Linked DNA regions of Oryctolagus cuniculus. The protein of the gene in region 7 purifies or fractionates together with the protein of the main gene of each other region. This does not show direct contact. Links are inferred from orthologs where the notes say so. Each region holds a gene or a part of one and is shown on either strand. Other genes may lie near its edges. The genes, in order: NAP1L1, KAT5, ING3, EPC1, MBTD1, RUVBL2 and H2AZ1.

Region 1 (3,500 bases), on a different chromosome or scaffold from region 7:
GGACGTGGGACAGTTCGTACTGTGACTAAAACAGTTTCCAATGACTCTTTCTTTAATTTTTTTGCCCCTCCTGAAGGTAAATAGTGTTTTAGCTTGAATATTGATGATTGTTTATTGTTATACTAAGCTTTATTTACTCTTAATAATTTGATGTTTTTTGTTTTCCTCATTTTACAGTTCCTGAGAGCGGAGATTTGGTAAGCTGACTTGTTCTTTATTGACTTGTTTACTGTATTTGAAATTATCTCAAAGGTGGAGAGTTAGTGATTCTTACTAGCATTGTGGTTCTGAGACCTCGTGGAAGAAACTTGTAGAGATCTAAAAAATTGTTCCATCCAAAAAAGGTTTCCATGGAAAAACAATGAAATGAAAAGCTGAAAATTTCTTTAGAAACATGAAAATACTTTTATGAGGGTTTTAATTTTTCAAAATTACTGTGTGTGTGTGTGTGTGTGTGTGTGTGTGTGTTTTAAAGATTTATTTATTTGAAGGCAGAATTACTGAGAGACAGGGAGAGAGAGGTCTTCCATCTACTGATTCACTCCTGAGATGGCCACAACGGCCAGAGCTGGGCCAATCTGATGCCAGGAGTTTCTTCTTAGTCTCCTACGCAGGTGCAGGGGCCCAAGGACTTGGGCCATCTTTTACTGCTTTCCCAGTCCATAGCAGAGAGCTGGATCAGAAGTGGAGCAGCCGGGATTTGAACTGGCAACCGTATGGAATGTCAGCTCTGCAGGCAGCAGCTTTACCCACTACAACACAGCGCCAGCCCCTAATTACTGTATTCTTAATGAGACAAAGATTAATTAGGTCCTTGGTATCATTTGTTACATTTCTTTGGCCATATTATTAGAGCTTTATCCTGTTTCTTATCACAATGAAAATATGGTTTTATATCATGACCATATACTAAGGTGTTCAAATATGTGGCATATAGCCAAGAATTAAGCCTACTGTAGAACTTGAACCACAACCTCAAAGAAGTATATAGAGGAAGATAACTATTTGAATGCCTGTCCATAGATGGATTGGAGTTTTTATTGGATTGCTTGTTTCCTATATTGTGAATATTGATGGTTGACAAAGTTTCTCAGTTATGGATAGGAAATCTGTATTTGCAATCCCTTTCTTCAGTCGTCTTCCCTCCCTCTCTGTTAGTGTGCATTATGTTGATGACTCAGTAAACATTCCTCGAATGTGTACTGATGAATGTCAGAAGCATTTCTGTGCATTGTTTAGCCATTAAATAAAAATTCCAGATCGACTTAGTTGATTGATTTTGTCAAGGACTCTGTCTCATTTGCATTTAAGTAGACTTAAAACTGTACAGCTGCTTGCTAACTCTTTTTAGGAAGTGTGAAGAAGTGATTTTCTGTGGTCTCTTACTGTGATTTTCTGTGTTTCATATACTTAGTTATTTATAAAAGCCTGTTTTTTTCTTAGTATTCAGATTAGTGTTCTCATTTTTCAAAAATTAGTATGTAGTAAAATTATATATTGTTTTATTTCCCCAATCTTCTTAACATATACACAGCCTGCTAACTTGTTTTCTTTTTATTAAAAAGTATAAATTTATCACATGAAGTTATTCTTAAATGTTGTGCTTTTGTTTCCCTTTTCAAAAAATAGGATGATGATGCTGAAGCTATCCTTGCTGCAGACTTTGAAATTGGTCACTTTTTACGTGAACGTATAATCCCAAGATCAGTGTTATACTTTACTGGAGAAGCTATTGAAGATGATGACGATGATGTGAGTGAATTTGTATTTTGTAATGAAATAATTTGGTTGCGGGTAAGATAGAATTGATAAGAAGTTAGGTTTTAGACATTTAGAACTTACACTATATCTAGATTTAGGACATGGAATAATTCAAAGTTGGTCTAGTTACAGATAATCCTGTAGATAGCTTGCTTAATATTAAGTAGGTTTTCTTAGCCTCTTTACATTCATTTATCTTATTTTTGCTTTTGCTACCAATGGAAACATCATTCTGATCAAGTGAAAAGTTTTACATTTGGCTAGCATTATAGAGGTATTAGGCTTTTGCCTATGATCACAAAAAACAGAACTAGGAATTTTTCTGTAGGTAAGATAGTATTTATTAGACAGCATAAAATTTTATCTAAGAGAATTTTAAATAATGATTTAGTTTGAATTAGGCTGCCCTTTCTTGGATACCTTTATTGCTAATAGGTATTGAGTCTTTGTTGTGCAATATGTTCCACAGATAAATTCAGGCAAGTAATTGTGTGATAATGATTCATTCATATGATTATACTAAATTGCCTGGTTATTTAGTTAATAACTGAGCCGAATGCTTGCTGTAGCTAACATATTTTGGAGAAAATGTTTTGTATTTTTCATTTAAGTGTATACATATCAGATGTTACTAATGTTGGCACTTCACTGTTTTCCTTTTCAGTATGATGAAGAAGGTGAAGAAGCGGATGAGGTAATGTTTACCAAATGAACAAATAGTTCTCTGTTTAACACAATGTGAAGCAAATTGAGTGACTTATGTATTCCTTTGCTATAATCATTATTCTGTGATTTGGGATACATTTTGGAATATATGATTTTAGAACTCTACAGCCAAACAATGTATGTATAAGGTTTCAATAAATAAATTGCAAAACTCAGCAACTTTTTTTTTTATTTCAAATAATTTTGTTCTGCTGCAGGGTTATCAGCTCTTTGAAGAAGTCAAAAGCTGCAGTAAACTTTTTCAACGTTGGCTGCAGTAATCTTTTCAATAAAGGCTGTCTGGATGTCTCGAGTTGTGTTGGGAAATTTTTCATATTAAAAGCTTTCAGATTAAATTGTACTGTCAACAACTCTGTAATCATGAAAATCTGTTGACTCATAGAGTAACTTGTATTAAATTTTCCCTACATTATGAGTCAGTATTTCCCATTTGTACCTACTTCATGGATGCATTTTGAACTTTAATATAGGAAGGGGAAGAAGAAGGAGATGAGGAAAATGATCCAGACTATGACCCAAAGGTGAGCAAAATTAGTACTGCTTTATCTTAAATTTGAGGCAGGCTAAAGTAACAGTTGATTTATTTTTTCTATTAAAAACTTATAATAAAGCAAATTTTTTCTTTTTCTGATCCTCACTGGCATTACACATGATTTCAGTGCACCTTTACTAAAAAAAACATTGGTTTTGGTTCTGACTTTATATTTTTCTGATTCAGGCTAAGTGTAAACCTTAGCAGTCTGTTTTTTTTTGTTTTTAAAGATTTATTTATTTACTTGAAAGTTATACAGAGAAGGAGAGGCAGAGAGAGAGGTCTTCCATCCGCTGGTTCACTCCCTAATTGGCCACAAATGGCCAGAGCTGTGCCAGCCCAGAGCCAGGAGCCTCCTCCTGGTCTTCCCATGCGGGCGCAGGGTCCAAGGACTTGGGCCATCTTCTGCTTTCCTAGGCCATAGCAATGAACCTGATCGGAAAGTGGAGCAGCCGGGCCTTGAACCAGCGCCCATATGAGA
Region 2 (4,019 bases), on a different chromosome or scaffold from region 7:
TGTCCCCCCAACCGCTTTAACACATCAACAGCACGGGTGCTGGTCAAGGGCGCAGTCCAGACACCATGCTCGGCCCCAGCCCCCGCAGCCAGGGGGCCCCAAGGCCCAGCCGCGCTGTCAGCGCCGCGCGTCCCCATGGGAGCCGCTGCCCCTGCTTCCCGGCCTGCCCGGCGGAGTTCCAACAGGACCTGCTCGCGAACACGTGGCCCTCCCTCGTCTCCAGACCTCTTCCTCTCTCTCTTCCTTCTTAGCAGCTTCACAAAGACCAAGGCGGGGTGTAGTAAAACGGCGCCGTCTTCCTAAGCCCAGCCCGGCTCAGCCGAGCGCGGGCTTCCCAAGGCCCAGCCGCAGGGTCAGCTCCAGCCCACGCTGAGGGGCCTGGCCGGCCACGTCCTCCCTCCGCACGGCCCCGGAGGACCCGTTCGCCACAGGCCGCTGCTCTGCGCGCCAGGGCCCCCCCCACAGTAACCCTGCCCCTCACTCCGGCGTCTGGTGTTCTGTGGGGGCCCACGGGCCGCGGGACACGCCAGGCCCACACCCGTCTGCCTGTCCACCAGACACGGGCCAGCGCGTGCAGCGCGGCGCGGCTGCCCCCGCGGGACGGCCTGTGCGTCTGGAACTTTCTCTGGGTCCCTTCAAGCCTTCTTTCCAATAGTTAAGCTTTCAGCCAGCGCTGCCCGGCTACTCCAGCCCGACCGCCCGCGCCTGACCACCCTGCTCGGGTTTTCGGGGTTCCCCAACACTTAGCCCTGAAACAGAGGCAACCGCGGCCATTAACCCTCCCCTCCCCGCAACTTCCAGGAACGCGAGCTCCGCCAGGGGAGGGGTCTGTCCGCTCGCCCCCACGCGCTCCAGGGCCGGCAGTGGAGCCCGGCACACGGCGGGAACTCACCGCACGTCTACAGGCCGCAAAAATAACGCACACACCGGTTCTCAACCAGGAACTCGGGGTACGAGGTTAGACACCCGCGCCCCCGCGCCTCGAACTCGGCCCCGCAGCCGTCCCGCTACTCCCGCCCACTTGTCCAACTTGGCCACGCCCACCGCCCGCCCTCAGGCCCGCCCCGCGCCCAGCACGCGCACCCGGCGCCGGGCGACGCCTCCCGCCGCCACTAGGAGACTCCCGAACGCGGCCGCCCGTCCGAGCCCAAACACTAGTCCCACGTGACCCGCGCCGCAGCCACGTGACCGGCGTCGCACCCGGTGGGCGTCACGTGACGGACTCAGTTTTCCTCCAATCGCGGCGCACGTTGTGGAGGTTCCACCCAAGACCTGGCCCGAGGCTCCGAGCACCCCATTTTCGCGCCGGCCAAAAGGGCTAGCTCCCCGCTTCCAGCCGGGCGGCGGTGTCCCTCAAGGGTCCTTTACTAAACAGGCTCAGAGGGCCCGGGTCTGCAGCGTTCGCGATCCCGGAAGTGACGTCTCCCAGAGGGGCCGGAAGTGGCAGTAGAGGGAGGGAAGATGGCGGAGGTGGTGAGTCCGGTGCCCGGGGCGGGGCGGAGGGAACCAGGGGAGGTGGGTAGAGCCCGCGGCCCCACAGTAGCCGACCCTGGCGCCGCGCTGTCTCCCCAGGGGGAGATAATCGAGGGCTGCCGCCTACCTGTGCTGCGGCGGAACCAGGACAACGAAGATGAGTGGCGTGAGTGACGTCGGGGGGCGGGGCTAAGAAATACGAGGCGGGAGGGAGTCAGCCGAATGGGGCGGGGCTTCTAGAATGCTGGTGCGGGCGGGGCGCTGGCGCTCCAAAGGAGGGGCGTGGCTTCTAGCCGTTCCGACCTGGACAGGGCGGGGCCTGGAGAGTGGGTTGCACTTGGTGTCTGAAGGGGGCTTGGGCGCGAGCTGCGCAGTGCTGGGGCGCGGGGATCCGGCCGAGGGGTGGGGCTCGGGTCCTAGGAGGGTGGCGTCTCGGGGCCCTGCCCGTCTAAGGCCTCTGCCTGTGCCGTTCCCATAGCCCTGGCCGAGATCCTGAGCGTGAAGGACATTAGTGGCCGGAAGCTCTTCTACGTCCATTACATTGACTGTGAGTCCTGGGCCTGGCTGAGGTGGGGCTGCGGGGCGGGCGCGGGGCGGGGGCAGCCTCTGGCATTCCGTCCTGAGCCATGCCCACCGCTGCAGTCAACAAACGCCTGGATGAATGGGTGACCCACGAGCGGCTGGACCTAAAGAAAATCCAGTTCCCCAAGAAAGAGGCCAAGACCCCGACCAAGAACGGACTGCCTGGGTCCCGCCCCGGATCTCCCGAGAGAGAGGTGGTGAGTAGGGCCCCACTCCACCTCTCCTGCCTCCTACTCTTCTCGTCTCTCGGCCTTAGGGGGCTCCTGGCTGGGCAGGAGGCAGCACCCCCCGCCCCGACTCCAGCTTGCAAAGCATGGGGCCAGGTTGCAGATGTAGCTTCCGGTCCAGTGGCCAGTCCTTGAGAAGGCAGCGGGCGGGGCTCAGTCACTCCACGCCGAGGGGGCCCCTCGTCCCCTGCGCCTCCCCACCCCAGAGGAAGACCCTGGACCTATCTCTGCAGCCGGCCTCCGCCCAGGCCAGCGGGAAGACCTTGCCAATCCCGGTCCAGATCACGCTCCGCTTCAACCTGCCCAAGGAGCGGGAGGCCATTCCCGGTGGTGAGCCCGACCCGCCGCTGTCCTCCAGCTCCTGCCTGCAGCCCGGCCACCGCTCCACGGTACCCTCAGCACTTCAGGGACCTTCTTTCCTCTCAGGTCCCCCTTCCCTACCTTCTCACCCACCGGCCTCGGTTTCCCTCTGCAGAAACGGAAGGTGGAGGTGGTGTCGCCAGCGACTCCCGTGCCCAGCGAGACGGCCCCGGCCTCCGTGTTCCCCCAGGTAGGCCCGAGCCGTCTCGTCTCACTGCCCTGCCTGCCCTGCCCCCGCCGGCGTCTCCGGCTCAGCTCACAGCCCCCCGCATTCCCGCCGTCTCTTCACAGAATGGGTCAGCCCGTAGGGCGGTGGCAGCGCAGCCAGGGCGGAAGCGGAAGTCAAACTGCTTGGGCACGGACGAGGTGGGTCTGGGGGCTGGGTGGGGAGGGGCCGTGAGGCGGGTGGGCGGGGGCTGGGCCTGGTCTCTGAGAAGTGGGGTCACAGCAGCTGCCCCGGGGTCGCAGACGGGCGGCGCGTGGCTCCTGTAACGTGCCGTCTCCCCCGGCCCCGGCAGGACTCCCAGGACAGCTCCGATGGCATCCCGTCGGCTCCGCGCATGACTGGCAGCCTGGTGTCCGACCGGAGCCACGACGACATCGTCACTCGGATGAAGAACATCGAGTGCATCGAGCTGGGCCGGCACCGCCTCAAGCCGTGGTACTTCTCCCCGTACCCGCAGGAGCTCACCGCGCTGCCGGTCCTCTACCTGTGCGAGTTCTGCCTCAAGTACGGCCGCAGCCTCAAGTGCCTGCAGCGCCACCTGGTAGGCGGAGCCCAGGAGCGCCCGCCCTGCGCCCCAGAGTCCAGGAGCACCCGCCCCGCCCCCCAAAGTCCAGGAGCGCCCGCCCCTGCGCCCCCCAGAGTCCAGGAGCACCCGCCCCGCCCCCCAGAGTCCAGGAGCGCCCCCGCGCCCCCCCGGAGTCCAGGAGCGCCCGCCCCTGACCCTCCTCTCCTCCTCAGACCAAGTGCGACCTACGCCACCCCCCTGGCAACGAGATCTACCGCAAGGGCACCATCTCCTTCTTCGAGATCGACGGGCGCAAGAACAAGGTCAGTGGCCGCGGGCAGCGGGCGGCTGCTGCTTGCTCGGGGGCACACTGGCCTGCCCAGCCGGCAGCTTGTTCAGCCCGTGGTGTTAAGAAAGGTTTGTTTATTTGAAAAGCAAAGTTAGAGCGTGGCATCCGCTGGTTCACGCCCCAAATGACCACGAGGCCGGGGCTGGGCCAGGAGCCTGGGGCTCCATCCGGGTCCCCGCACGGGTGCAGGGGCCCGAGCGCTTGAACCATCTTGCGCTGCTTTCCCGGGCCACAGCAGGGAGCTGGGGTGGAAGCAGAGCAGCCGGGTGTTGCAGGAGACGGCTTAACCCGCCGTGC
Region 3 (4,064 bases), on a different chromosome or scaffold from region 7:
AGAAGAGGAAGATTCCAGTGAATCTGCAAAAATATCAAGCAGATCTTTCAAAGTAGTCAGAAGGAGGGAAAATGGAAAAGAGGGGCAGGGAAGGGAGGGAAAGTGGAAAGGAGGAAGAGTGAAGGTGCTAGATTTTAGCTTCAAGTGTGTAAAATTAACTACGTTAATTCTTAATAGGACCAGGTAAGTTTCCATTGAGACGTATCAACAGGACAGTCAAGCATCCTGCTTAAGACCAGTGGAAAAGCCCTGAGCAGAGGAGCGGCTACGGAGAACACTCACACTGACGACACTGTTCCCTGAAAAACGGAGAGAGTTAAGAAAGATGGGAAACACCACCACCTAACACTTAGAGTAAGAGTCTCCTGAGGAAAAACATTTTAAAATAAATTCAGCAATGCACACTTAACATATATCACCGGTCAATATTGGCAGGGAGAAATCCAAAAGTAGGGGAAGACAACGCCCAGGACTTCTAACACATGCTACTTACTCAACATAATCTAAATTGCTGGTTCAGCTCATTAGACATCAAGGCTCCACCCGCTACTTATGACTGCTCAGGGTTTTTTTTTTTTTTTTTTTTTTTTTTTTGGTTGTTGCTGCAGGTATAGGTTGTATGTACAGATTACATGAGGATGACAATGACGATGAGCTGGACCGAAAAAACAAAAAAAAACAACAACAAAAAAAAAAAAACAAGAAACAAACCACTCTCGTCTAAACTGGCGCTGATGACTATTCCAGCACCTTTCATCCGGGGAGTGCACATACACGCCACAGTTTGATAAACTATTTGAAGGCTACATGGAGTCAAGCAGACGTCCCTCCCTCCCCCCTTATATTTTCGGCGGTCAACACTGAAGCACCGAATTCTGTCTGCAACAATGGGAATCGCCCGAACTTCGCTGATCACGCTAGCGTTTAGAACCTCTGCTTGTGTGCCCAGCACCAGGCGAAACCCATGACTCACAAACGCCGGGCATGGAACCGCAGCAAAGAACAGGTGAAAAGTTGTTCCTAGTTGTCTGATGCCGGCGCATACAAGTCCCGTCATCCCCTGTGCCAAAATCAACAAATAAACAGAGGCACCGCATTTCGGAGCCCTCCGCGCACCGCTCGCAATGGCGCCTGGTGTCCGTAGTTTTCCCTCACAGAACGGGCGGCACGGCCGCCCTGCCTCAGAAGGAACAGAAACTACACTTCCCACAAAGGCGCTCGGGCAGGCCCTGGCCGGCCTACGTCACTGCGGCAGCCAGCCAATGACAGCGCCGGGCGGCAATGAGGCAAGCGCCGTCAGGCGCCCAAAGTGGTTTTTTTTTTTTTGTTTTTTTTTTTTTTCGCCGGAGTCGAGCGGGTGCTGCTAGCGGAGGCGCCATATTGGAAGGGACAAAACTCCGGCGACAGCGAGTGACACAAATAAACCCCTGGACCCCTTCGCTCCCCCAGCTCTAAGGGCCGCGATGTTGTACCTAGAGGACTATCTGGAAAGTGAGTGCGCGGCGCCGGCGGGGGCCGCCCGTGGGACCTGCGGTCGGGCGAGAGCGCGAGTGGACGGGCAGGCGGGATGGCGGGAGGGAGGGGGAGGCGGGGGATGTTTCTCTCTCACGGTAACTGGCAGCCTCGTTGTGGGCTGCCCGCTCCCTCGACCCCCCCCGACGCACGCACGCACGCACGCAGTGACGCAGGCGCGTACGCTCGCTGTGGGCCCCGCCCTTCTGACGGACTCTTGTTTGACAGTGATTGAGCAGCTTCCAATGGACCTGCGGGACCGCTTCACGGAGATGCGCGAGATGGATCTGCAGGTGCAGAGTAAGTCGGCACGTTTGCCCGCGTCCGCCGCGCGCGTTCCGAGCCGGGCTTGCTTGCCGCCGCTCCTGCGCGGCGCTCCGCGGGCACCTAAGTTGTGGAGAAGAGCTGGCAGGGCCAAATCGCGCCTGGTTTTTTTTTTTTTCTTCCCACGCTCCATTTATTATTATTTTTTTTCCTGTGACGAAATAAGAAGGCATTAGAGTATATGTATTGCTTCCTCGAAATGGGACTGTGCAAAAAAAAAAAAATGTTTTATATCCTCATGAGGGTAATACCGGGTGTGGGTTAGCGATGATCCCGTAAATGCTGAGATTTTGACCAGCGCCTTTATGGATCGAACTTGGATTTCAGCATCTGTTTGTACTTCTGTTCGAGTTCATTCCGAAACGTCCAAGAGCCCGGCTTAGGAGTAGATCCTCAGAGATCCCGGCAAACCTGGAGTGTCATCACACGTTATAGGATAAGCTTGGAGTTGTGGGCTCGATCCTCTTTTCCAGGCAGAATGAGCGGGAGATAAGATGTTGCTGCCAGGCTGGTCAGTGGTAATAATTGGCAGCGGGCTTCCCTGTCCTCCAGTGACGGCTTGCGAGTCTGGTGACTTTTTCTCAGACAAGGACTCTTAAGTAGGTGGCCCAGAGACTACCCGAGGTGGCTGAAGAACCTTTCTTTCGCAATCCACTCCGTGTGTCTACTTGGTGACCACCTAGGATTCTCTACCCAAAGGTTCATGATTCTGCTTTTCTCAGCTTCTGCACAGTTTTATGTAGCACGTAACAAGTGGGAATGTGGCACAAAAGCCACCTTTTTTTCTGTTGGTTAGATTGTAGCGTGGCAGGAAGTGAGAAGCACGATTCTGCAGCTGGCTGACAACATGCGTTTGAACTGCAGTGTAGTGAAAGGCCAGTGACACGCTGAGTAGAGTTCTGTGTAGGACGGAGTGTGGACTTCGATGTCGGGCAGATCTGCGTTTATTTTATAGCTTTATCAGTAGACTCATTGACCTCGATCGACTGCATTACCACTTTTGAGAAGTTTCCATTGACTGTAATAAGAGAATCCAATGAGAATTAAAAATAATACAGATAAGTTAGAATGTATGATATCTGATACAAAGTAGGTGTTAAAGAAAGGGTGGCTCTGTTATAAACATTTTCATTGCAGTTACACATTTTAAATTCTCTTAATTTGAACTTAGCTTGTACAAACTACAAGTTTTTTTAAACTAGCATTTTTTTAACAATAAGTAGAATTCTTTAAAGTTAATAGGTATTATGAATTAACAAAAATGACCATATGTCACGTAAGTTAGGGAATGCTTAAAGGAAAATACTTTTTTAAAAATTTTATTTATTTATTTATTTAAAAGAGTTACAGACAGAGAGGGAGAAACACAAAGAAGTCTTCCGTCCATTTGTTCACTCGCCAAATGGCCTCAACGGCCGGAGCTGAGCAGATCTGAAGCCAGGAGCTGGGAACTTCTTCCAGGTCTCCCACGCAGATCATTAGCAGGGAACTGGACCAGAAGAGGAGCAGCCAGAACAGGAACCGGTGCCCATATGGGATGCCAGTGCTGCAGGGAGAGGCTTACTCTACTATGTCACAGCACCCCAAAGGAAAATACTTTTTTATAAATTAACCATGGGACTTCTCAATCTTTAAAAAGCTGATTATGCACTGGCAATCTCCAAAAGATGAGTATAGTACAGAGATTTTCCTCAACCTAATTAGCAATGGAAATCTTTTTATTTTTCCTCTTTTTGGGAAAAACTATTCATTATTCTAGGCATATACTTCAGGAAAAACTTACTTAGAATAAATAATATCGTGTATGAAGTGCTAAATGGTTGTACTTACTGCTTTCAGCTTTGATATGAAATGATGGAATGCTTAGTGCCATTGAGCCAGTTGTTAAAAACTTTTTACTGATTTTCTTATGAAAAGCCATGTGAGGATATTTTAGTGGTGGTCTCTGTGAGTAACTGTGGTTGGGCACATTCAGTTGATTAAATACCGCTAGCCATTGACTGTGTCCCAACCCCCTGAGGCTGTACTCTTCAAAAACTGTGGTTTAGCTCTGATCCACTTTGTTAATCCTAGTTTAATTATTGGAAAAAATTAAAAAACAACATAAATAAGTAGTAGGGAAATGTGTAACTTTTAAAGATTAAGTTAAGTGAGCATTATGTATTTATGTAACTGAAGCATAACATACTCAAGTTATTGGTCAAGTGGAACAGTGTTTATTGTCAGAT
Region 4 (4,054 bases), on a different chromosome or scaffold from region 7:
CTGCCCATGTTGGAGGTGGAGGGTGACTGCAGAGAATTGTGGTTTCCGCTCCCCTTGTCTTCTGCCCACCTAGTGGAGGGCAGCTAAACCAGCCTGGAAGATAGCAGTTCCCCTATGCCCCGTAAGCTAATAACAGTTCATCCCAAACCCAGTATTTGGGAATAGCGATTATTTTTTATTATGTAGCCCCCGGCGAGAAAGGCAGACTTAGAAAACATGTTTGCATCTTGGCATACGAGTGAAATCTTGCTGTCACACTTACAAAACCCACTGCAACAATCTTTCTGATTTTTAAAATACCTCCCTGGAAAGGGATCAGCGGATACCCACTTTAGTGTGTAATATAAACCAGGTGTTGGCAGTCTGTCAGCTCCATCCAAACCTCTTCCAATCGTTCAGCTTTTCTCGTTGGGTTCGGTGGGATCGCTCCAGGTCTTTGTATGATTCCATTTTATAAAGTTTTCAGAGGACAAATTCGAGCGAGAACTCATGGCGATGTTGAAAACAGCTTTTTTTTCTTGCGGTGCAAACAGAAAATCGTGAACTGAATATAAATAACTGGCGTTAAGGTTTTGAAGTAGATCTTGATTTAAATGCTTTTTCATGAAGGTGGTGTCCAGTATAATCCCCTTTGCTTCAATCACAGTAAAACACATAAGATAAAATGTAGCATGCATTTTTAAGAGCTACTTTTGTAGTGGAATAGGATGCCTGCCCACGGGTGGGAAACTGACCAGCGATTTGATCGCGGAGCCTATCAAATACTATAATCCGAAGTTCCGGTCGACATAAAAATAATTGCCGGTAAAAGTTTACCGCAAGCAGCACTCCGTGTGCGTTTCTATGTTAAAGACCCGCACGGGCAGGGGTGCGCGGCGTCCGTGCGCCGGCCCGGTGACGCGGGTGCCCGAGCCCGGTGACCCCGGGGCCGCAGCCTCGGCCCGTCGTCCCCTCCGCGTCGCCCTCCCCAGGCCCGGGCGTGCGGGCGCAGTTTCCCTGTACCGGCGCCGGCTGGGGAGGAGGGGAGGAGTGGAGGAGTGCGCGGGGCAGCGCGGCGGGAGCGAGCGTGAGAAAGTGAGCGTTTGCGCCCCGAAGTGCAGCGGGAGCCTCCGGCCGGCGCCCGGCGTCCGAGCGCCCCGGCCGCCCCCGAGCCCGCGCCGGGCGGGGGCCCCGAGCCGCGAGCCGCGAGCCGCGAGCGCCGGGCGCCGGGCGCCGGGGGTTGGCGGGACGCGCGCTCCGTGCCGGCGCCCGGCCTCGAGCCCGCGCTCCCCCCCCCCCCCCGCGTGCCCGCGCCGCTGCGCGATGCAGTGTGGGGAATGGCTGGGGTTGGCTGAAGAGCGCACAGTGGAGTTTTAATGTCCGCCATGTTGGCCATGGCGTATTGAAGAGAGCGAGCGAGAGAGGAGCGGAGCGGCACAGCCTCCCACCCTCCCGGCTGGTGTTAGTGCCCGGACGGCGGGCTCTGCGCTCCGCCCCTCCAGTCCCCGGCAGCGGTAGGCGAGTGGGGACCGAACCCCCGGTTCTCCATGATCCCGCTGGCCGGGGCCGTTTCCCCAGAGCGGAGAGGTATCTGCTGCGCCTGAGATGAGTAAACTGTCGTTTCGGGCGCGGGCGCTAGACGCCTCGAAGCCGCTGCCGGTGTTCCGCTGTGAGGATCTGCCCGACCTGCACGAATACGCCTCGATAAACCGGGCCGTGCCGCAGATGCCCACCGGAATGGAGAAGGAAGAGGAGTCGGTACGTGTTAACTCCCCTGTCCGACCCGCCGCCAGGCCCGCTCCACTGCTGCCTGCGGCGGCGGAGCAGCCGACCCACACAAAATGGCCGCCATCTTCTCCTCGCCGCCGACTCTCGGTCGCCGGCCGGGCCGCTCCCCCGCCGCCCCCGGCCGCGACCCCCGGCCGCCGCGGCCCGGCGGGGCCTCCTCTCGGGCCACCCGCCGACCCCGGGCCCTGGTACCCGGGTCCCGCGGAGTTCGGGGGCCCGAAAGGCACAAAGGGGTCACGTGACGAAGCTGCCGGCAGCCATTTTGTGGTCTTAGTGCTTGGGTTGGGCCTTGTGCATCCGGCGAGGGGAGCGGGCTGGGTGGCGGTGGGGGTGCGGCGAGCCGCGGAGCCGCGAGCCGCGGAGGCCCCGCCTGCAGGCCTCTCCGCGCGCCGCTGGGTGGCGCTCCGGGGCCGGCGCCGGGCAGCGCGGGCGCAGCCGGGGACGCTCGCTTGCCGGTGGCCTGGGACGCTGCTGGGCGCTCTGCACGGCGCCCACGTGGAGCCCCGGCGGGGCCCGCCCGAGGGGCGCTGCGTGCCGGCCCGGGCCCCTTCACTCCTGGTGGGAGACGCGGCTTCGTGCAGCGCTAGTTAGCGGGAGCGGAGCGCACACGGGCGTAGGGCGCGGGTGTGCGGGGCCGCGCGGCCGTGCCGAAGCCTTTCTCTGGATGATTTACTTGGAACAGAAGTTGCGCCTGCCTTTTAATCGCTCCACGTGTGAGCAAGGGCAGCGTGGTAGCGCTACATTTGGACAGAGAGGCAAGGACTTTGTTCCCCTTAGCCGCTCAGTTTAAGGAAACCCACCCACACGAGTGTTAACGCTGGGGTGTCTTAAATTGAGTGGGTTTCTGTATTTAAATGACTGCTTTCAGGGCTGGACCTTGTATCCCAGTCGTGGCTTCGCTCGGTGGCGGAGTTGGGTCCAGACGCGAACATGATGGCCTCTTCCTCTGGTTTGCCCCGGCTGCTTGACAGTAACTTAACGACCACTCCTTGCAGGTGCAGCCGAGTGAGCAGGGGCAGTGCCTTGACAGTTCAAGGAGTCCAGGGAGCGCGGACTTCTTGGGTGCTGTAATACTTCGTGGGGACCGGCAACCTTTGCAGTGTGGAAGCTGTGCTCTGTAATGCTGTCTTTGCAAATAAAACTCTTTACACTGTTCGGGTCGTTTAAGCGTCTCAAGTGAAATAGTTGTGGCAGTGGAGTGTCACCTTTGAGAGTGGTGTCTTTGCCTGCGGAAGACGCTGCCTGCCAAGCGCACGGAGCCAGTGGGATTTCCTAGTGCAGGACTGACCTCCGAGACTGTGCCACTCCGTTTGTTTTCCTTGGTTCAACTTCAGAGTAGAGTCCTGCCATCTGTTAAATAAGTGATTTAAAAAAAAAAAATTAAAGTACTTGTGATTGCAGCATCTTGTCTTTTGGTTTTATTTTGTTTCTCTCGGTCAGTTTGACAGGTAATACTTTGAAGGTGGGGAGTTGATGTGACTCGGCCCTGGGAATTGATTTACAGTTCTTGTTATACAGCCAAGGAAGAAATGCTTAAAAAGCCCGACAGCACGACAGTACACTTTAGACATTTAGTTCTATCTTGCTTCTATGAATACTTGGATAGTCCCAAGAGCTACAACACTTCACATCCAACAAAAACTGTGATGAATGAAGCGTAACACCTCAAGAATAGGTACTGAACTTAATCATAGAGTGTCAAGAAAGTACCTGGGTAGATAAGCGGCTGTTCACTTCTGTGGTGCTGCGAGAGGCCATACATATCACCATCTTGAAAGCAGTGTGTTACACAGTATTAAAAATGTATACTAAATGTTAATAAAGGTAATTGAGTTGCCTTAACTTTAGAAAAACAAAAGCCTTTTGATACAAATTTGCTGAGAATATTTTGTACTTAGAGGAAGGATTGAAACAAACCTCTGCCTTTGACAAATTAGTTAGGCCCATTCTTAGGTCCCAGTAACCTAGAACCTAAATTGACTCAAGTTTAGAAAAAGATACATGCTTAGTGGTGATGGTGGTGGTGAAAGAAGGGGGCAGAATGAGGTGAGGCTCTTGGATACCTGGCTCCTTGAGAAAGCATTTGATGAGCAAGATACATTTACACGGGAATATAAGTAGTCATTATAAAAGTGAGCAGAAATATGGGTATTTTAACATGGGGGAAATAACTATTGTACTGCATTTAACCAATCTTAATAATATAAGCTAAACTGGCCTAATTAAACTTTTTTTTTTTTTTTTTTTTTTAAGAAACAACTTAAGTAGAGGCCCCCTCTCCCTGCAG
Region 5 (4,293 bases), on a different chromosome or scaffold from region 7:
ACGGCTGGTTTCAGACCCTCCAAGCCCAACCAATCCCCCTCTGTCAGGCAGGCGCTTCCTTTCCCTGGACACAAATCTGCACAGTGCTGAGCACTTTACCAGCAGTTCCCAAACTCCTCTCCCACTGGGTTGCTGCAGCTTCGACCCGAAGCACCCAACGGAGGTTGCAGCTAGATAAGCTCTCCAGTTAACAAGCCCTCATTGAGCCATTTAGGGAGGCCCTGACCCGCGACCTGACCTGAAACTCCATAACCTTCCCACCCACACCAACTCCCCCGCCCCCCACGGTATTCTGTTCTCCTCTCCTCACACCTGTCACCGATGTACTTTAAATTTAGGTGCCTTCTGCCTCTGCTGCCCACTGCTGTGTCTCCCCCCAATGTCCATCTACAGCATGCCTAAAATTTTACTCCCTATATGGGCAGGAAAAAAAAAAGGAATATAATTTACAGTGATAAAGAACCTAACGGTCCTAATGACGCAGGCTGTGCCACTGGCAGTATTTGCAAATACTCGAGTTTGCTGAATGGGCGAACACAAGCGATCATTCTCCAAAGCTGCTGTGCGTCAGGCCCACGTGGGAGCGCTCAGGACGCGGACTCCCAGACCCGCGCCCACCAAGCGATCCCGTCAAGTCCTGCATCACCGCCAGGAATCGGGGGTGCTGGGCTCAGCTCCGGCGCGGGCGAGCGCAGCCGAGCCGCTAGGGAAGCCCGCGACTACAGTTAGCGAAACAAATGCGTGTTGAGCGCCTGCTGGATACCCGGCGCAGCGGCTCCTCCGGGGGCGGAGAAAGGCACGGTCCCCGCCCTCCCGAGGCTCGCAGGCCCGCGCCGGGGGGCGGCGGAGGCTCCGCGGCGGCCCCCGGGGCCCGCGTCCCCGGGCTCCCTCCCACCTGAGCGCTGCCCGCCGCCGCCGCAGGTCGCCGAGGCTCCGCCCCCGCAGCCTCGCCGCCCACCGCGCGCCCCGCCCGAGCGCGCCCAGCCCGCGCGCCGCGGCCTCCCTCACCGGCGGGCCCCGCAGGCGCCGCAGCAGCGCGTCCTCGTCGTCCTCCACGTCGCCGAAGACCAGCTCCTCCAGACACCGCTCCGCGTCCGGCTTGTCGTCCTCCAGCGTCAGGCGGTTGCGCTGCCGGAGCAGTCTCTCTTCCTCCGCCGCCGCGACTGCCATCGCCGCGGCCGCCGCGCTCGGCCGGGCCGGCGCTTTCTGCTGGGATGAAAGGGCAGACTTTCGGGGCGGCCCGCCCGTCGCCACAATGGCTCTCCGTTCTGGCTTCATTCGAGTCTTCCGATCCGGCTTCGCTCCGGTTCTCCGGCCCGGTTTCGTTCGGCTCCTCCGTTCCGGCGGCATCGTTGAGTTTGAGAAGAAACGCAGGCGCTCACGTGGAACCTCAAGCGCATGCGCCCAGGCGCCTCACCTCCCGCGGCCGCCGCAGCCCCGGGGGCCGGAAGGAGCCTGCGCAGCCTCTTGCCACGTGACCAACCCTCCCCGCCCCCACACTACGTAACTCTGTTCCTCCTCGCCTGCCCCGCCCCGAGTGGGAGTTCCTTTGGGAGAAGCAATCTTCCGGGTGTAGGGGTAAGCGGCATGACTGGAGTGGAAAATTTTCCCCAACACAACCTCGCAGCTGGAGCATATCGAAAGACGTTTAAGGGAACAGGAGCACCAGCTGGGATGACTGAATGAGACGCCTCCTTTTCCTCCAGACTTTCTAGCCACTCGACAGAACGCCAGCCTCAGTTACTTTTCCCACCCTCGGTCTTGGTACGGTCCGTAGAGTACGGAGCCTGCCGAGGGTCCCACGCTGGAAGAGCGAGAGGAGGGTATGTGGGGAAGTGGGCCAATCGGGGCGCGGGTCACGGCGCAGGCGCGCTGGGAGGGAGGGCTATGCTAATGTTGTTGATATCCTGGGGCCACCCGAGTTAAAGGGGGGAAATCCGGGGGCTGCTGCAGCCGCCACCGGTCTGGGCCCAGCCGGGAACCCCTGTAGTCGCCGCAGTCCGGGGGAGAGGCACCTGCCCCCAGCTCGGGGAGGGGGCGCCGCGGGCTCGGGGAGCACGGACAACCCCTACCCATGAGGCCCTGATGGAAAACACAAAGGATCTGGTGAGAGCCGAGCGCGGCAGCCGCTTTGTGTGCCAGGTGGGGGGGCACGCCTCCAGCTCCCTGACCCCGCTCCCAGGCCCGCTCCTCCGCCCCACGCCCCCTCACCCCGCGGAGCCCCCTCCCCCTACCGGCCGTTAAACGTCTCAGGGGCTCCCCTCCCCCACTGCCTCAGCCCGGGACGCGTCGAGGTTCTCTCCGGCTCATCCAGTCGGGAAGGAAATTTTGAAAAGAAAGTTTTTTCTCTACGCCCCCGTCCCCGTGTCGCTGCGGCTGGGGGTTGGGGGTCGGGGGGAAGGCTGGGTCTGAGACTTTTTCCTTTTTGAGCCGCCCGGGGTGGGCGAGCCGAGTCCTCACCTCCCAGGGGGTCGCAGGCGCGGGGTTTGGGGGCTTTGCCGGGGGAGGTGCCGCGAGGCATTTTGCACGTGGAGGTGGAAATGTTGCAAGGGGGCGGGGTGGGCACGTGTGGGAGGGCGGGGTGGGAGTGGTGTTTGGGGCCGCTCCCTTAGAAGGGTCCCGAGGCGGTGGGCTTGGGTGCGCTCGGCGTTCTCCTGTGTGAACTGAGAATCCTCACGTTTCAGAGTCGGAGGAGACGTTAGAGGTCACCACGGCCGCCGTCCCCCGTGCAGCCTCTCTGACAAGTGGTAGGTAGTCTGGCCTCGGGCAGGAAAGCCCCTTCCGTGTTTCAGTGGTTCGCATTGCTGTGTGCCTGTCCTTAGAGATCCTCCGCTGTCATTCGCGTCCTGGTGAAGTTGCTCTTTTTTTTTTTTTTTTTTCCAACTTCTCAAATTTTTCTCTCACATCCTCCTCACCCACCCACTGCTCATTGGCCTATATTTTGTGTACCAGGAAAGAACAGCAGGCAGGGAAGTGGAGGAAAGAGAATGTGAGGGCGAGCGAGGGCCAGCTGAAAACTTTGCCGGGTCGGTGTCAAGCGTGCTGGCTTAGACGTCTGAAGAAACTGGTGTTGTGCTTTTTTGTTACACACACACACACACACACACACACAGGAAACCAGGGAATGACAGTCTGAGGGTTTCCAGGCCGTTTTCTCTCCCTAGTCAGTGCATCTTTTTGAAGTTGGACATTTGAGCGTCATCGGTATAGTCAGCCCTACCATGAAGTGTGTTTGCTTGCTACCTAAACCGCTTTCCCTAAGGAAGCCTGGCGTTGCCTTGTGGTGATGCTACTGAGCCGTTAGAAAGAAACAGCCGGTGGAGCTGAGCAGAACAGCATCCCTCCGCCAGCGTTCTCGCTTGTTTAACTTATCAGAGCTGGTCTCCCACCCAGGAGCCCCTCTTCCAGCAACTCCATCATAGAGAGACTTGCAGCTTATGCAACACCTTAGTATTTCCTTAGAATTTGCAGTATTTTAATGCTGCTCGCATGAGTACACCCCAGTATTTATCACTGGGTAGTTAAGGCAGTTCAGCTTCAGCTGTTGTCACTCAGTGATTGTCTAAAGCTCTCTTTCCTTGTGAGCTAGCTGCCTCCAGTAGTTTAGATGGCATAAGAAGGGGGTGGTGGTACATATGTTTTCCCTTTCCTAATATGGTGAAGTAAGAATTAATACATATTATGTCGAAGTCATGTCTAAAAGCAAGTGAATACATTTTACTCTAAGTTCCTGATAGCCTGTTTAAAAGGTCTGAGAGACCACAATTTTTCCCCTCCCTCTCAAGATATGTAGACTGTTGCTTTGCTTTTGGTTGCTAAAGGTGTTATTTCTCATTTGTTTACCTCAACACTCAAAAGTCTTTAAAAAGAAAACAGCTGTCTCTTTTTGTACCATCTCCTCTGTATAACAGGTAGCTTCTATTTGTATAGAACTCTGTAGTCAAGGCCTGTGTATACGTTGCATATTATGGCAAAAATCTGTTTTTGAGTAAGTATTCAGAGTGTCCTATGTTGGGACATGTTTTTCAACCATCCGAGTTTTAATCCTAATGTAAACTTTGGTATAGCGTTTTCTCTGAAGCTAGAAAATGGAATGTAGTGTGGAATTGAGTACTACGTCACAAACAAAATTACTAGAGCTACATAATTGTGTCTTTCAAGTTTTAATTAATACAGTTCCAAGTTGTTTTCCTGCTTGCTTTAAACATGAAGTGTCATGAGTTAAGTTGACTGGCTTTGGAGATATTTGCATTCTGAACATACTAGACAGGAACAACTGGTTTTATTTTTAAA
Region 6 (2,859 bases), on a different chromosome or scaffold from region 7:
TAGTCGGGCCCGTGAGCTGCGCTGGGCTCGGGTCTGGAAGGTAGCAGGGCCACAACTTCGTCTCCAGACGGCTGTGAGTTGGCTGCCGCCGCTCCCCGTCCGTAGCCGATTCTGTACTTGTAAACCTGCTTGCCTGCAAAAAGGTGGTTGGCTCCCCGGGTCGTACTCGGGGCGCCCTCACGGTCACTGGCAGAGATGCGCAGAGCAGCGTAAGTTCAGGTCCCTGATGCCCAGGTGCCCGGCTGAGGTTGGATGAGGCCGCGCTCTGCCTGCTGGCCGCAGCCCCCCTCTCGTCTCCCTGTCTGTCAAGATGCTTGTGTTGTGTGTGTGTGTGTGTGTGTGTGTGTGTGGTGTGGTGATACGCCAGCCGGCAGCTGTGACACAGCAGGTTAAGCTACTGCCCGTGACTCCAACATCCCACCCCCAGTGGGCACTGGTTCAAGTCCCGGCTGCTGCACTTCCCATCCAGCTCCCTGCTGACGCCCCTGGGAAAGCAGCAGGAGATGGCCTTGCACCTCCTCTTGGAGACGCAGATGAAGCCCCTGGCTTCTGGCTGTGGCCTGGCTCAGCCCTGGCCATCGCAGCCATTTGGGGAGTGAACCAGCAGATGGTGTCTCTCCTTCTCTCCCTCACTGTGACTTTCAAATAAATAAAACGAAGCTGAGGTACACCCAAGCGTAGTGCTGAAGTGCCATGCCACGTTGCTGAGCAGGGACAGGCTGGGACACGCCTTGGAGAGACGGCGCTGTTGGCCGTGGGCTCTGTGAGTGACTCAGCAATGTATACTAACACAGCCCCAGGTTCCGTACGCATGATGGACAGGACACTGGAGAGGGGGCGGGAGCCTCATCCCGTGTCCCCCAGCAGCCGTGGGGGCGTCCTCGCTGAGTGTTCACGGTGACATCACAGAACGCAGCTGCCGTGGCCGTCCTGGAGCCCGGCGGGCGCCAGGCCAGGGGCAGCGGGGGACACGCCGGGCCGGTGTCTGCCCTCCTCGAGCAGGGGCGTGGGACCTTGGAGCAGTAATCCTGGACACAGACGCCCAGCCGCGGCTCTGCGGGGGCGCCCGGGGGTGGGGGTGACGCAGCTGGGGCTGAGGCCGAGTGGGGCCTGGCCCCGCGCGTGGGCTGTGGTAGACGGGGTGTGTAGGGTCTGAGGATCAGGGGACAGAGCAGGGTCCCACACACGTCACTTGCTAGCCCTCCCTGTCTCCCACTCCCCAGGATCCGGGGCACCAGCTACCAGAGCCCCCATGGCCTCCCCATTGACCTGCTGGACCGGCTGCTCATCGTCTCCACCTCCCCCTACAGCGAGAAGGACACGAAGCAGATCCTCCGCATCCGGTGCGGGCAGGACCGCCCACCTGAGACTCGGGGACCCCTGGCTGCTGGGCCTGCAAGGGGGGCTGAGTGGGGCCTCCAGGCAGAGGCCTCATCCGGGGGGCGGGGAAGGGGCTCAGGAGGCCCAGGTTCTAGGTTCTCTCGGCCCCTGCCTCGGTGGCTCCTGTGGCCTCTGCTTTCTGTGGGTCTGGGACGCAGACTCCTCACGTGACCCCGAGGGCTGGGCCAGCCCTGGCTGAGCCTTCTCACCCCCGCCCCCCCGTGCCCATGTGACAGGTGCGAGGAGGAGGACGTGGAGATGAGCGAGGACGCCTACACGGTGCTGACGCGCATCGGGCTGGAGACCTCGCTGCGCTACGCCATCCAGCTCATCACCGCTGCCAGCCTGGTGTGCCGGAAACGCAAGGTCAGCGGGGGTGTGGCCGGGGGTCCTAGAACGCGTTTCCAGAGGCACTGCCTGGGTCTGTTTCCGTGTCTGGCACATCCCCGGGGCCGGGCAAGCATGTGGCCCGTGTGTGGGAGCCGTGAGGTCCCTCTCACGGTGAAGGACCTGAGGCGTGCAGGGTGAGCCGGGCCGGCCGAGGCAGGCCTGGAACTTGGGAGATTCGCCCGGAGCCCCTGGCCTTGGCTGCCGCTCGCTTGGCTGCCTGGGGTCTGTGTGCCTGCGGGAGGGGCCCACTGAGGACTCGGCCTCCCCAGGGCACGGAGGTGCAGGTGGAGGACATCAAGCGGGTGTACTCTCTCTTCCTGGACGAGTCCCGCTCCACGCAGTACATGAAGGAGTACCAGGACGCCTTCCTCTTCAATGAGCTCAGTGAGTGCCAGGGCAGGGCGGGGCGGGGCGTGGCGGGGCGTGGCAGGCTGGCCTGGGAGAGCTCAGGCTGACCACCGGGCCTCCCTCCTCCCCACAGAAGGCGAAACCATGGACACGTCCTGAGCCGAGCGCTGCCCCTTCCCCCACCCTGTTTTCTACCAGAGTTCTGACACTGTGACTTTGTATAAAATGGTTTGGAAACTGGCCCCTGGGTGTGTGTGCGTCCCCCGGAACCCACAGAAAGACACCCCAGCCTGCAGATGGAGAAGTTTTATTGGGAGGGGAGGAGCGGGGCACCTGCTGGCTCCACCAGTGGGGGTGGGGCGGGAGGTGGGGCCGAGGGGCCTCAGAGGAAGAGGAGGCCTGGGAGGTGGGGGAGGTCGCAGGCCAGGGGCTGAGCCCGCGGACCCCCGCAGTCGGAGCTGCTGAGGCGGCAGGGCCCACAGCGACAGCTGAGGGCCACGGGGAAGGACACCTCGGGGTCCACGCCAGGTGGACAGCCGGGGAGGCGGATGGAGGCGAAGCGCAGCTCGCGGTAGGTGCACACGGGCTGGGGCACGGGCGGCAGGGCGGCGGGCAGCACCCGCACCTGGAGCGTGAGGGAGCAGCGTGGGCCTCGGAGCCGCCCCTGCCCCCGTCCCAGATGCAGGTCCCAGGGCAGCCTCTGCGCTGCCCTCCCGTACCCCCCCCAGCTGACGCCAGTGC
Region 7 (4,269 bases):
TTCTCCAGTGGCTAGTGTAGAAGATAACAGGAGTTACTGAGTGCTTACTGTGTGTCCACTACTATCCTCTACAGTGTATACCTTCTTTAATCTTGCAACCAGGTTGTGAAAATAGGTGGCATATAACCTTTCCACAGAAGAACCTGAAGCCCCCAAAGCTTGGTCGCCCAGATGACACAGTGAGGAGGCCGCAGAGCAGAAGAATTCACGTCTGCCTGCCCCGAATCCATTCATTCTCTCAAACACGATCCAAAGAGGCAACAGAGATTTCTCTTCAGTTGGGCTTCATCCCAGAGAGAGTATTATCTAAATCGGAGAAGGCATTAATATTGGTTTCTGAGTGAAGCCTCACTGGCGACAAGGTTAACTATTACATTGAGTTTCACAGCTTTTTATCGCCATCTTATCAATTTAGTTGGAGATCTGATGAACTCTTGCTATTGATGACATCACAAGGACTCCTCAGTTCCAAGGAGAATAATGAAAAGATAGACTAGAATTTATATCCCAGAAACAGGAATGTCCTTTGATCCCCCCCCCAAAAAAAAACAAAAAACTTTCAAATTGAAACCTTGAAACCTAAAGTTAGAATGTATGTTTCAAATACTTCAAGTTGCAACTGTTCAGTTGTTGAACATGTAACATTATATTCCCAAACAGCTGGAGATGTGCACAGGTGTTATTAATCTATTAGTTGGAAGACTAAGTAGCTGGCATTATTATAGCACTGTGTGTACAGTACTATTTTTTAAGCCCACCATTTGCAATTGATTACATGGACCATCTGTAACTGCCTGTGAATCACGTTAGTTACCCCACTGACATTTACCGAACATTTGTCACGCAGCGAAATATTTAGTGTAGAAAAGTTGACACATAATAGCTCTGAGATTTCACTAAATCAACTCTAGACACCGGCCTGTGGGTACAACCCACCGACCTGTAGACACCAGAAAAATACGGTTTGACTAAAGAAATACCAGCTCACGCCAAGCTCCCCACGCGTGAACAAAAAGGTCTTTTGTGCCCAGCGAGGTAACTCGGCTCCGCCGACTGTTGTCACAGAACCACCTCGTGTGTGTGCGTGCGTGTGTGCGGGGGTGTCTTCATAAAGTGGTGGGGGAAAGAGGAGGAGAGGACTCCGCTGAAATTCAAGTGGGATCCGCCGGCGGCTGGGAACCAGCTCAGAGGGAGGAAACGGCCGAGTCCTGGCCGACCCGGTCGCGCCACCTGTCAGACGAGCGCAGCCGCCAGGGGCTGGGAGGGCGGCAGGCGAATGGGTGCCCGGGGCCCCGGAAGAAGGCTGCAGGGGAGCCGATTCCGGGCGGCGAGAACCCAGGCGGTGCTGTTAGGGGTGGGGGCCGCGCTAGACCCCGAGGAGACTTCACGTGGCCTCTGCAATCCCGCTAAGGGACCGGCGGGGGGCGCTGTCCCACGCCCCTCCCCTGAGCCTCTCAGCTCCTCCTCCCAGACACGTGACTGAGCCTGCTGGTTTCTTCGCTCGCGCTGCGCACCTCGTTCTGTTTCTTCCCTCCCGCTGCTATGCCCTTCTTCTCCCCCGTTCCCATCCCTCCGCCCTCCCCCACCTCCTCCCCACGCGCCAACCGCGGCTCGAGCTTGGAAGCGCCCGCCTCTCCGCCCTGTTCTTCGTTTTCTCATTGGCTGAGGCCTCAAGGACGCGTCCCGAGGGCGGGCGGCAGCCATTGGTGGGATGAGCAATCCGAGTTCCCGGATGAGGGAACATTCTGCAGTATAAAGGCAGCGGGGAAGGCGGGAGACAGCGCAGTTTGAATCGCGGTGCGACGGAGGAGTAGGTGGTGGGATCGCGCTGTGTGTCAGACTAGCCCTTTCTCTGCCTTGCTTGTTTGAGCTTCCGCAGAATTCGAAATGGTAAAGTTCGCAGGGGCGCTCGGTAACTCCGCGGGATTTTGCCGGCGGGAGAGAAACCCGCTACCCACGGGGATGAGGGTGAAGTGGCGACGGTTGGGGACGTGCGGAGACGGGATTTACACGAGCGGGGGGGAGGTGGCGTGTCGGCTGCGAGCGGAGCAGCCTCGGCTGTCGCGGCGGGCGGCGACGGTTGGGTGGCGCGCGCGGCGCCTCTGGGGGCCGGCGGGCGGGCGGGCGGAGGCGCGCGGCCGCGGCGGGCGCGCGGCGGGGGCCGGCGGGCGGGGTCGCCCCTGCGGCGCGTGGCGGGCCGGAGACCCCGGCGGGGCGCGGGGACGCGCCGCGGTGGGGGAGGGGCGCGCCGCCCTGGTAATTCTATATTCTCCGATCCTCCTCCGCTCGCGGGCGTGTGCGCGCCGCAGGCTGGCGGTAAGGCTGGGAAGGACTCCGGAAAGGCCAAGACAAAGGCGGTTTCCCGCTCGCAGAGAGCCGGCTTGCAGGTCAGTAGTTGTTCGTGCAGTCTGCGAACCGTGGCGTTTTTCTTTGCACACCCCCTCCCACCCCCCTTTCTTGTTTATCATCGCCCTAGATGGGCGTTTCGTCTTCGCGTTGGGGATGCGGTGTCGCGACTTGGGGGCTGCCCACACGATAAATAAGGTTGGGGGGGGCGGCGATCACGTGTGTGGATGCTAGGGTGCCTGGCTGCACCAGCGTCCGGGCCCCTTGCGTTGGCGCGCGTGCGATCCCGCCAGCCCTGGCTCCCTGTCTTTATGCGTTTCTTGTTTGTGTGTGCTTAAGTTCCCGGTGGGCCGCATTCACCGACACCTGAAATCTAGGACGACCAGCCACGGACGTGTGGGCGCGACTGCCGCCGTGTACAGCGCTGCCATCCTGGAGTACCTCACCGCAGAGGTAACTGAGCGGACGCCTATCATCGAGGCAGGGCTGGGGGGGGGGGCGGGGGAGGCGGCCGGAGGGAAGGAGGAAAGTGATGCAAGAAGACTCCAGGCCCGAGACGCGGCGAGAAGCCCGGGAGGACGCTAGAGGGAGCCGGTGTCCAGGAAGGGAGCCTCCTGAGCCGGAGGAGTTGGCTGCTCCTGGCAGTAATTGCGTGTCCCCTGGATAGGGGGGAACACCTGGCAGATTCCTGTTCCTTAAGCTTTGATTCTGCCCTTGCACCTTGGTCAAAGGCGATTGATGAGCGTCTGCCTTGTAGGTACTTGAACTGGCAGGAAATGCATCAAAAGATTTAAAGGTAAAGCGCATTACCCCTCGTCATTTGCAACTTGCTATTCGTGGAGATGAAGAATTGGACTCGCTCATCAAGGCTACAATTGCTGGTGGTGGTATGTAATAAAGTTGGTTTTCTTCCTTATTCGGAGGACAGAAACCCTTGGCTTCTAACTCCTATTAGATTTTAGTCTAGCAGAGGGCATTTGAGAATGTTTTCATTGATGCAGTATGGCTGGGTCATGAAATTTGGTTTATGTAAACAACTCAATGGGTTTTTGGTATTTTGAGCTTCACATTTTTTTGAAAGATCTTGCACGTTGAAGCGTAAAATGCCTTGGTTTCAAAGTACTGTGTGGTTTTGAAAGTACTTACATTAAAAGTAGAATTTATCTGTCACTCTCCTAGGTGTCATTCCACACATCCACAAGTCTCTGATTGGGAAGAAAGGACAACAGAAGACTGTCTAAAGGATGCCTGGATTCCTTGTTATCTCAGGACTCTAAATACTCTAACAACTGTCCAGTGTTGGTGATTCCAGTGGACTGTATCTCTGTGAAAAACACAATTTTGCCTTTTTGTAATTCTATTTGAGCAAGTTGGAAGTTTAATTAGCTTTCCAACCAACCAAATTTCTGCATTCAAGTCTTAACCATATTTAAGTGTTACTGTGGCTTCAAAGAAGCTATTGATTCTGAAGTAGTGGGTTTTGATTGAGTTGACTGTTTTTAAAAAACTGTTTGGATTTTAATTGTGATGCAGAAGTTATAGTAACAAACATTTGGTTTTGTACAGACATTATTTCCACTTAGGTGGATAAGCTCAATAAAGGTCATCTCCCAAACTAGTTGTGTTTTAAATTTGCTTGCTTGTAATGGAAACTTGTTTTGACTGTGGTCCAGCAGTAACTAGGCACATTTCTTCTGTAGAAATTAAACTGTTAACCTGTAGATCGACAAAGGTCAGATACCGGGTACAAGGTAGTGTTACACCATAATGTGCTATGAATTTCTCAGAAGTTCTGCAGGAGCTGGAGATGGTTAGGGTTTCCTGGGACCAGGGACCAAGTGAGCTGAGCGTTCACCCTGGCTGTGCCGCAGTGACAGCACTGCTCTGGCGCGCGGCCGCCTTGGTGGGCTTGCACCTGCACAG

The links.
Region 1: the proteins of H2AZ1 (region 7) and NAP1L1 purify together in Homo sapiens (affinity purification with mass spectrometry; 3 studies listed by BioGRID and IntAct, with this or other methods). This does not show direct contact. The link is inferred for Oryctolagus cuniculus from reciprocal best matches to the Homo sapiens genes H2AZ1 and NAP1L1.
Region 2: the proteins of H2AZ1 (region 7) and KAT5 purify together in Homo sapiens (affinity purification with mass spectrometry; 6 studies listed by BioGRID and IntAct, with this or other methods). This does not show direct contact. The link is inferred for Oryctolagus cuniculus from reciprocal best matches to the Homo sapiens genes H2AZ1 and KAT5.
Region 3: the proteins of H2AZ1 (region 7) and ING3 purify together in Homo sapiens (affinity purification with mass spectrometry; 5 studies listed by BioGRID and IntAct, with this or other methods). This does not show direct contact. The link is inferred for Oryctolagus cuniculus from reciprocal best matches to the Homo sapiens genes H2AZ1 and ING3.
Region 4: the proteins of H2AZ1 (region 7) and EPC1 purify together in Homo sapiens (affinity purification with mass spectrometry; 4 studies listed by BioGRID and IntAct, with this or other methods). This does not show direct contact. The link is inferred for Oryctolagus cuniculus from reciprocal best matches to the Homo sapiens genes H2AZ1 and EPC1.
Region 5: the proteins of H2AZ1 (region 7) and MBTD1 purify together in Homo sapiens (affinity purification with mass spectrometry; 3 studies listed by BioGRID and IntAct, with this or other methods). This does not show direct contact. The link is inferred for Oryctolagus cuniculus from reciprocal best matches to the Homo sapiens genes H2AZ1 and MBTD1.
Region 6: the proteins of H2AZ1 (region 7) and RUVBL2 purify together in Homo sapiens (affinity purification with mass spectrometry; 6 studies listed by BioGRID and IntAct, with this or other methods). This does not show direct contact. The link is inferred for Oryctolagus cuniculus from reciprocal best matches to the Homo sapiens genes H2AZ1 and RUVBL2.

Annotation. Positions count from the first base shown.
Region 1 is NC_091442.1:78,557,995-78,561,494, reverse strand, and holds part of NAP1L1 (nucleosome assembly protein 1-like 1), read left to right. Parts: coding exon 1-76; intron 77-177; coding exon 178-197; intron 198-1,629; coding exon 1,630-1,752; intron 1,753-2,425; coding exon 2,426-2,455; intron 2,456-2,684; exon of another isoform or gene 2,685-2,957; coding exon 2,958-3,008; intron 3,009-3,500. UniProt on the Homo sapiens protein: Histone chaperone that plays a role in the nuclear import of H2A-H2B and nucleosome assembly.
Region 2 is NC_091432.1:6,003,904-6,007,922, reverse strand, and holds the start of KAT5 (histone acetyltransferase KAT5), read left to right. Parts: upstream 1-1,219; 5' UTR 1,220-1,461; coding exon 1,462-1,473; coding exon of another isoform or gene 1,474-1,572; coding exon 1,573-1,639; intron 1,640-1,951; coding exon 1,952-2,020; intron 2,021-2,115; coding exon 2,116-2,252; intron 2,253-2,515; coding exon 2,516-2,671; intron 2,672-2,757; coding exon 2,758-2,832; intron 2,833-2,933; coding exon 2,934-3,008; intron 3,009-3,160; coding exon 3,161-3,409; intron 3,410-3,606; coding exon 3,607-3,696; intron 3,697-4,019. UniProt on the Homo sapiens protein: Catalytic subunit of the NuA4 histone acetyltransferase complex, a multiprotein complex involved in transcriptional activation of select genes principally by acetylation of nucleosomal histones H2A and H4.
Region 3 is NC_091434.1:156,936,583-156,940,646, forward strand, and holds the start of ING3 (inhibitor of growth protein 3), read left to right. Parts: upstream 1-1,264; 5' UTR 1,265-1,463; coding exon 1,464-1,491; intron 1,492-1,740; coding exon 1,741-1,812; exon of another isoform or gene 1,813-2,535; intron 2,536-4,064. UniProt on the Homo sapiens protein: Component of the NuA4 histone acetyltransferase (HAT) complex which is involved in transcriptional activation of select genes principally by acetylation of nucleosomal histones H4 and H2A.
Region 4 is NC_091444.1:102,740,375-102,744,428, reverse strand, and holds the start of EPC1 (enhancer of polycomb homolog 1), read left to right. Parts: upstream 1-1,254; 5' UTR 1,255-1,584; coding exon 1,585-1,737; intron 1,738-2,909; exon of another isoform or gene 2,910-4,054. UniProt on the Homo sapiens protein: Component of the NuA4 histone acetyltransferase (HAT) complex, a multiprotein complex involved in transcriptional activation of select genes principally by acetylation of nucleosomal histones H4 and H2A.
Region 5 is NC_091448.1:27,053,661-27,057,953, reverse strand, and holds the start of MBTD1 (MBT domain-containing protein 1), read left to right. Parts: upstream 1-1,493; 5' UTR 1,494-1,823; exon of another isoform or gene 1,824-2,142; intron 2,143-2,684; 5' UTR 2,685-2,747; intron 2,748-4,293. Other genes in the region: UTP18 (U3 small nucleolar RNA-associated protein 18 homolog), read right to left, coding at 1,009-1,350. UniProt on the Homo sapiens protein: Chromatin reader component of the NuA4 histone acetyltransferase complex, a multiprotein complex involved in transcriptional activation of select genes principally by acetylation of nucleosomal histones H4 and H2A.
Region 6 is NC_091449.1:8,256,209-8,259,067, reverse strand, and holds the end of RUVBL2 (ruvB-like 2), read left to right. Parts: intron 1-1,223; coding exon 1,224-1,343; intron 1,344-1,616; coding exon 1,617-1,746; intron 1,747-2,039; coding exon 2,040-2,154; intron 2,155-2,251; coding exon 2,252-2,277; 3' UTR 2,278-2,359; downstream 2,360-2,859. Other genes in the region: LHB (lutropin subunit beta), read right to left, coding at 2,501-2,743. UniProt on the Homo sapiens protein: Possesses single-stranded DNA-stimulated ATPase and ATP-dependent DNA helicase (5' to 3') activity; hexamerization is thought to be critical for ATP hydrolysis and adjacent subunits in the ring-like structure contribute to the ATPase activity.
Region 7 is NC_091439.1:65,412,978-65,417,246, forward strand, and holds H2AZ1 (histone H2A.Z), read left to right. Parts: upstream 1-1,469; 5' UTR 1,470-1,887; coding exon 1,888-1,890; intron 1,891-2,309; coding exon 2,310-2,387; intron 2,388-2,685; coding exon 2,686-2,799; intron 2,800-3,103; coding exon 3,104-3,233; intron 3,234-3,525; coding exon 3,526-3,587; 3' UTR 3,588-3,961; downstream 3,962-4,269. UniProt on the Homo sapiens protein: Variant histone H2A which replaces conventional H2A in a subset of nucleosomes. Nucleosomes wrap and compact DNA into chromatin, limiting DNA accessibility to the cellular machineries which require DNA as a template.